2 linked regions of the Drosophila melanogaster genome follow. The protein of the gene in region 1 interacts with the protein of each later gene in a pairwise test. Each region holds a gene or a part of one and is shown in the gene's direction. Other genes may lie near its edges.

Region 1 (4,969 bases):
CATCGATATCCAAATCATCATCATCAAATAAGGAGGGCTTTGGTTTTGAGAGCAGTTTTTGTTCTGGTGGCTTTGCTTTGGGCGTAAAGGAGCTCAAGAAGTCGTCGTCCTCCAAGTCATCATCGAATAGAGATTTGGTTACCGGTTTAGGTGGCTTTTTGGAAGGATTTTCCTTTGGCATGGCAGGAGAACTACCAAAAAGCGAGTTATCTTCATCATTATTGGCCACTACAACTGGACTCCGTTTTGGTATTGCACCCGTTGCTTTAGTATTATTAAAAACAGGCTCTGACCTCGGAGTTGGACTCAATGGAGGACTGTCGTCGAAGAGGTTTACACGTTTTGGAACTGTCTGCTCAACAATCTGCTTTGGCGGCCCTGGCTTTGGATATTCTTCCACGGGTTTTTTAGTTTTGGGTGGTTCTTTTGTTGAAATTGTCGTTGCTGGGGAGACGGAGCTGCTGGGTGTTTTTGACTGGACTTTGTCCACGATTTCGGACATGAAGGATTTAAACTCATCTTCGTTAAAAAGATTAACTGGCATGCGCTTTGTTTGGCTTGGCTTGATCTCAGCCTCCTTCGGAGTTTGGGTTGAAACAGCTTCGTCGAAGAGTCGAGGAGGTTGTTGGGCAGGACTACTGCTACTGGAACTAAGCGATGCAGTAGATACGATTGGAAGGCGACTTGATGGATTCCTAAAGGCTGGTGAAGATGTAGGCGATGACGATGTGGATGGCGGGTCGTCGCTAGGCGGCGATTGCCGGAGGGCAGCAAACATGTCCCTCTCATGTGGATTCCTTTGACTGTTTATAATTGGACGCGGTTGTGTTCTGATGACAGGCTCTGCTACCTGAACAGCAGGGTTAATGACTGGCGACACGATTGCCGGTTCCCTGGCAAACGAGGCTAGGGAAGAGGAGTCAGACAGATGCTGTTCTTCTAATTTGTTCGCTGGCGTTGCTATTTTTTTGGTCTCGGGTTCCTTTTCGTCCGATGAGCTTGAGGAGAATTCCTCGGATCTGTCATCTTCACTATTCTCCTTACTGTCATACAACCCGGCATACTTGTGTTCCTGCCACTCTTTGGTACCAATAATATAGGGCAAAGGTATCGCATCATAGGGATTCTTAGCACGGAATACGGTTCTGTGGAAAGTGGAGTTAGTATGGATCGGAATCGTAGTGTAGTCACTTACGTTGAGTGGACGGGGCCATCCTCATCATCCGAATCGGGCACTTCTATGGTCACCGGCTCGTAGTTTTTGCGGAACATACGAAGGTTGTTTTCCAGAAACTCCTTTGCCAATTCCTCGGAACTCTTGAGCGGCAGCTCTGGCTGCAAGCATATTAAGATCTGTAAACACAGCAGCCTGCAAAATTCCATCGCTTATTGCACCTTCTTTTTCTTCTCTTCGGGCATGGCCAAATCTGCGTCATCCACTTCCTCCACCCGATACTCCACGAACTGATTTCCAAACTGCAGGGATCGCAGGCTGGTAGTGGCATTGTTCAGCGCTATATCCACTTGCTTCACGCTCGTCTCAAAGTCTCGCAGATTGCGGCTGGTCCTTTCGCCCCTTTCTTCCAGATTCTGTTGCAAAAATTTTATCAAATTGGCTTGTTATCTATGCACGTATGTGAATTTAACCTGGGAAATGCGCTTCATCAGCGCCAGCAGAGCACAGTCGCCCGCGAAGGTCCAGTCCGGAGCCTGGGCTATTATCTGATCCACATCCGCGCTTATATCCATTATCAGTCGACTGCAAGCTCGCAAGTCAGAAAATAATAACAACTAATTAAGAGCAACAACAACAAACTTAGTAATGACACCCAAATAGAGATGAGCGATAGTTAATCACCTGTTATCAGCGCACAGCCAACGCTCATCCCTAAGCCTGCTGAGCAGCTGTTTCGACAATCGCTATCGATATATCTTGTTTAAACTTGCTATCGATATTTGATAGCACGTGTTGGGTTGTTCGCAATTTACGAATTGTATCTTTGTTAGTTATCCGCAATTTACATTTAAAACGAAGTAGATTATAAATAATTATAGACTAAAATGGCTATGCTGGCTGAACCACGTCGGCGCAAAAAGTACAACTTGTGTCCGCGCGGCAAGGCTCTCTATGAAGGTGAGCATTAAACTCCAAATGTGACTGGTAAATCGTAAATTCTTAAACTTTAACAGATGAAAATCGCTTCGGTACCAAAATGCTGGAGAAAATGGGCTGGACGAAAGGCAGTGGCCTGGGCGCCAATCTGAATGGCGAAAAGGATTTTGTGCGCATTCGCTTTAAAAATGACGCAGAAGGATTGGGTTTCGAGCAGCGCGATGATCAGTGGACTGTACACGAGGATGGCTTCAATGGGCTGCTTAAGTCGCTAAATGGGGAAGATAGCGGCGGCATAGACAAAGAGCCGGAGTCCGAAGAGGAGGCCAGACCTATGGGCTTTGGCTTCAAAGCCATTGAACCGGAGGAGCCGTCTAAGAAGAAACTCAAGGAGAACACCAGTGGAATGTCGCTGGAGGAGCGGTCGAAGCAGAGCAGGGCACGCGTCCACTATAAGAAGTTCACACGCGGCAAGGACTTGGCTCTGTACAGCGAAAAGGATCTAGCCAATATATTCGGCAAGAAGGCAACTGAGGACGTCGAGAGATATCCAGAACCCGTGCTGGCTGTCCAACCCGAGGAGCCAAACCCCAACTTCGCTGGCGTGCAGACAATTGTCACGGGCCTGTCGACCACTGATTATTTCAAGCAGAAAATGGAAGCCATGAAAAACAGACTAAAGAAAGGCTCCCAAGTTGAAGACAACAACGAGGCACAGACCAATGGTCATGCTGAAAAGTTTGAACAGATTTCAGCAGATAATGATGAAGTGACTTCCAAGAAAAAGAAAAAAAAGAAAGACAAGGAGAGGGCAGACGAGCCACCAACTAAAGAGGAAGAACCAGAGCAGGTTGCTTCCATGCCTAAGAAAAAGAAGAAATCAAAGCGATCATCCCTTGATGAAGAAAAATTAGTTGAAAGCGAAGAAAGGACTGACGAGCAACCCACTGCTGTGGAAGAAATCGAGCAGGACGCTCCCAAGCTTAAGAAAAAGAAGAAATCGAAGGGATCGTCTCTCGATGAAATTGAGCAGTCGGAGAACAACTTTGTTGAGGAAAAATTAGTTAAAAGCAAAGAAAGGACTAGCGAGCAACCAACTGCTGTGGAAGAAATCGAGCAGGACGTTCCCAAACTTAAGAAAAAGAAGAAATCTAAGCGATCGTCTGTCGATGAAACCGAGAAGACGGACAACAACTGCGTAGAGATGGCGGAAATCACTGAGGAAAGTGAAAGGACTTCCTCCAAAAAGAAAAAGTCCAAAAAAGAGGAGGAATCAGCAGAAGTGTCGATACAAACAGAAGAGAGTGACCAAAAAAAGAAAAGAAAGTCAGATAAAAATAAGGAGATTGCAGAAGATTCGATAGAAGAACCAGCTGCGAAAAAAAAGAAAAAGTCTAAGAAATCCGACGAAGTAATTGTAATCGATGATGACGACTTACACAGAAATAATGAATCGCATACTTCGAATGAAAATAGAACTAAAAATAAAAGTAAATCTAAGGACAGTCAAGAAACCACTCAAATTCAGGAAGAAATTACCATAGATTTAACAGCCGAAGCTCCGTCTAAGAAGAAAAAGAAATCCAAGGAAGAGAAGCGTAAGGACAATGATGAAAAAGATTTAGAAGAAACACCTCCCGCCTCGGAAGCTACTGAAAAGAAATCGAAGAAGAAATCCAAATTAAAATCGTCTGCGGAGCCCTCGACTAAACTGGAGATCACCTCATTTGCGCTCGCCGTGGAGGCGGCTGTCGATAATCGAAAGGACACAGGAGGCGAAGATAGGAACGACGTAAGTGCTGACAAGAATAATTCCGGCAATAAAAGCGTTCAGTCAGCCGATGAAGACCTGCCTAAGGACCTCTTATCCCTGGAAGAGATCCAAGAAAAACTCAAATCATTCAATCATTTTAATATCTCTAAATTCTGTGCAGACCAATTTCAATTGTTCGACATGAGTGCGTTTCACAATTCGTCGCTGGGCGAGATCGTGGGCTACGGAATCAGCGAAAACGTCGAGCTAAATGTGGTGGACTGTCCTTACGATGAAACGCGCATTCGCAACCTTTGGAAAAACAAAGCCGTTGAGCATTTTAAAAGCAAACAGCATAGCAAGTATCCGGTAAGGGTGCAAAGAACTAGCATACGAGCGGTCAAGAAGAGAGTCGCCTTTCAAGGAATTTAGATCGAGCAAACGAAATATATTTCAACGTGATTCTTATTATGATTGTTTTTGTACATAAACAACTTAAGTAGGTAGTTGGTAAGCTTCATGGTTTACATTTTAATGTACTGTTTTGTATAACACGCTAACTAATTAAACTGAACTATACATTTCAAGTGAGTGACATATTCTTCAGTCTTATTTAATAGAACCAATTATCCCAGCCGGCCCGACTGTGGTGAATATTCTCGTGCGTCGCTTAGGCAAGCCACTATGAATGAATGTAACGAAATGTAATATCAAAGGGGACCTTACTAGCTTATACTCTAAACCTTACAACTAGTCCGGTGTAACATTTCGATTCGCCAAACGTCGTGATCTTCTCAGGGGCTTTTTGTCATGATCCGAGCTATGTGATCGCTTTACCGGACGATTGGCGTTGCTGCGGCTGAAGTTGTTCAGGTGAACATGGGTGTCCCACTGCGTAGGCAGTTGAGTGTGCATTATTATTCAGAGGAATATTACTCATATTTCGATGCTTACCGAGCCAGACACGATTTCTGAGCGATCCGGATGCCAGTCCAGATCTCTTATCACAGTCCTATGTCCTTCAATAGCCTCTTGAATCTTACCAGTAAGTACATCATAAACTGTAAGAAAATTGGATTATTTTGAAAACATAATATGTTTAT
Region 2 (2,693 bases), on another chromosome or scaffold:
AAATCGCTGCAGGACTCGCTGGACATAATGCGTGATCTACTGCAAAACTAGACGAACTAGACTAGAATGTCGCTAGGATTGGGGTCCACCAGAAAAAAAAAAAACATATCAGTTAATGTACCTAAGCAGGTTAGCGAACGAAAGTAAGTAAGTGTAACTAGCGACCACACACGGGCGTTTCATTTGTGACCAAGCACCACCAAGCGAGCCACCCAACGAGGGGTGGGCATCTGAGGAATAAGATGGATAACGATAACGAAATCGGAATCGAAAACTGATGTCAATCACTATCAAGTTGAGACAAAAAAAAAAACACAAAAAAAAAGAAATAAGAAAACTATACGCAACCCATTCGCTTTACATATCCGTTACCAAAGTATCCTCGTAGTTTGAATTAGAGCAACTCTAGTCAATTAAATGTTTTAGAGCCGTTTTATGCGCAAATTGTTAGTGCTGTTATCTAAGTGTGTTAATTGTGCTATATTAAATATGAGTGTTATACCAATCACTAACTAACTTAGCAGAGCTTACGAACTTGTTTATACCCCTACTGTCAGCGAATTATGGCAAGCAAGCCCACAAGTATGCAATACTTTTCGTTACGAAAGTTGTGTTTCAAATACAATACGTTCTATAGTTGTTACAAAAGATACTAGCTAAAGCATATACTAAAAGTACTATCTGCGCTTGTTACTGCAATTTCGTTGTTTGTTTGAGGACTTATTACAAAAAAAGAATTATATAATGTCTGTTAATATATTTCCATATATATTCGTGTTTTAGAGAGCAAATGGTATACCGTAACTAAAGGCTTTTTGGATGAATATATATATATATATATATATATAATAATATATGTATGTACAACCCGTAAATGAATAATGAAATGAATGTAGAGGAATATATAGAATACGCGTATAGACTTGAGACGTAACAATACATATCAATAAATTTATATACATCCCAGGAAGGCAAATGATGCCCCACGGCGCAGGACGATTTAGAATGATATAGATACATATATAACCTATGTGTGTTTGTTTGTCTGTTCGAGCCGTTAGCAAAAAAAAAAGATGTTTCGATGGCGATCCACCAAAGCTGTCAATAATCTGCAAAGAATATATTATATACATAAATACTATACGTATGTTATTTACAATGGAAAATATATGAGAAACGTTAAAGGACAACCAGATACTTATATCAAACTAGTTGCTGTGTTCATTGTTGCTATATATGTACTATATGTATGATTATCTTCTAAACTGTTAACCGAACTATCACTACGTACTATCCAACTAACTATCTATCTTACCTGTATTATTCGATCTGTGTATCAATCATTACGTTACCATACTGTTCTGTACTGTCGTTAAGTTTGACTCGTTTCCATATGGCCAAGAGCCGCAATTAATGTATGCATAAATAATCACGAACCGAATAAATTGAAATAAATGCATTACAAACCAAGACCACCATCATTCCTGACCTACAATTGATCTGCTGGTGAATGAAAATACTCCATACGTATATGGATTTGGATAAGGCGCACGGTCAAATTGGCCACGTATTTTTCAGTGACTTCTAAGAATAGATAAGTCGTCTTCCGCTTGAAACAGTCATGAAAATCCGAGCTGCGCACTTCTTAATATCCAAGTGGTAAATACGATAACAAATAAATAAATAAATAATGATAAGCCAATGCCAGATAAATAGTGTTTTAATAAATTAATTAAATAAAATACCAATGGATACCCATGGCCAAGTGGTTCTCCATAAAAGGCCCTGGCCGTTCTGGGCACTTCAACAGTCTCTAAAACGCCGTCAACATGAAATGTAAGTACCGTACAAGGAGTAACCGCCAACGCAATCCGTGGACCATTCGAGTAACCGGCTCAATTCGTTGCAGTCTTCAACCTGCTGTTTAGCCTCTGTCTGGCCTTCATGCTGTGCACCTCGTGGGTGTCGGCTTTCTCCAGTCTTGCCACCCCGGAGCCAACTCCGCCAACTGGTGCTCCCGTCGATGGTACGACTAGCACGGGATTCTCTGGTCCGCCGCAGGCTGAGACCACAAATGCCACGCCAGAAACGTCGACCATCTATCCCATTTACGGATAGTCATCATCGATTGATGAATTAAAAACTGAATCGCAAATATATTAAAATACGTGTAATTTTCACTTGCATCGAATGAATTGTGGGGGTTACGGTACGGAAAGGCATTTGATTATTTTATACGGGTTATATATTGTCCAACATAAAACCAGACGAGGGCATTCAAATAATCGACATTCACATAAATTAGACACTAAACAAAATCCACACCGATGTACATATGCATCATATGTAGGGGTGCGCCTAAAAAAAACCGCAAGCTAGTTAAGTAGACACCACGTTGCACCTAGCTGCTGCTGGTCGCCACATTTCGCCGGAAAGAGCCTCGCACCTGCATCTGCAACTGCTCACTGCTGCACTCGTCTCGACCGTACTGCACATGGAAACGAAAATCAATTAGCAACATTTGGCAGCGAGCTAACCACAGGCATACGCACCTTGCAGAAATTGTGCTCCAACAGTTCCACTGCCGTTAAACGCCTCTTGGGATCGTGCTGCAGACAATGATCGATGAAGTCGTGACCCTCCTGGGATAGGCTCTCCGGTGCCTGCGGCTTCTCGCCCATGCCCACTTTGAA

The links.
Region 2: the proteins of CG11180 (region 1) and CG14302 interact in a two-hybrid assay, tested with the Drosophila melanogaster proteins (one large-scale study listed by BioGRID).

What each region holds. Positions count from the first base shown.
Region 1 is NT_033778.4:20,620,396-20,625,364, reverse strand, and holds CG11180 (uncharacterized protein), read left to right. Parts: upstream 1-1,935; 5' UTR 1,936-2,061; coding exon 2,062-2,134; intron 2,135-2,190; coding exon 2,191-4,298; 3' UTR 4,299-4,451; downstream 4,452-4,969. Other genes in the region: FAM21 (family with sequence similarity 21), read right to left, coding at 1-1,145, 1,196-1,335, 1,396-1,590, 1,648-1,749; CG9945 (uncharacterized protein), read right to left, coding at 4,617-4,757, 4,821-4,927.
Region 2 is NT_033777.3:18,730,877-18,733,569, forward strand, and holds CG14302 (uncharacterized protein), read left to right. Parts: upstream 1-1,804; 5' UTR 1,805-1,829; coding exon 1,830-1,836; intron 1,837-1,909; coding exon 1,910-2,118; 3' UTR 2,119-2,158; downstream 2,159-2,693. Other genes in the region: Mekk1, read right to left, coding at 2,402-2,488, 2,553-2,693.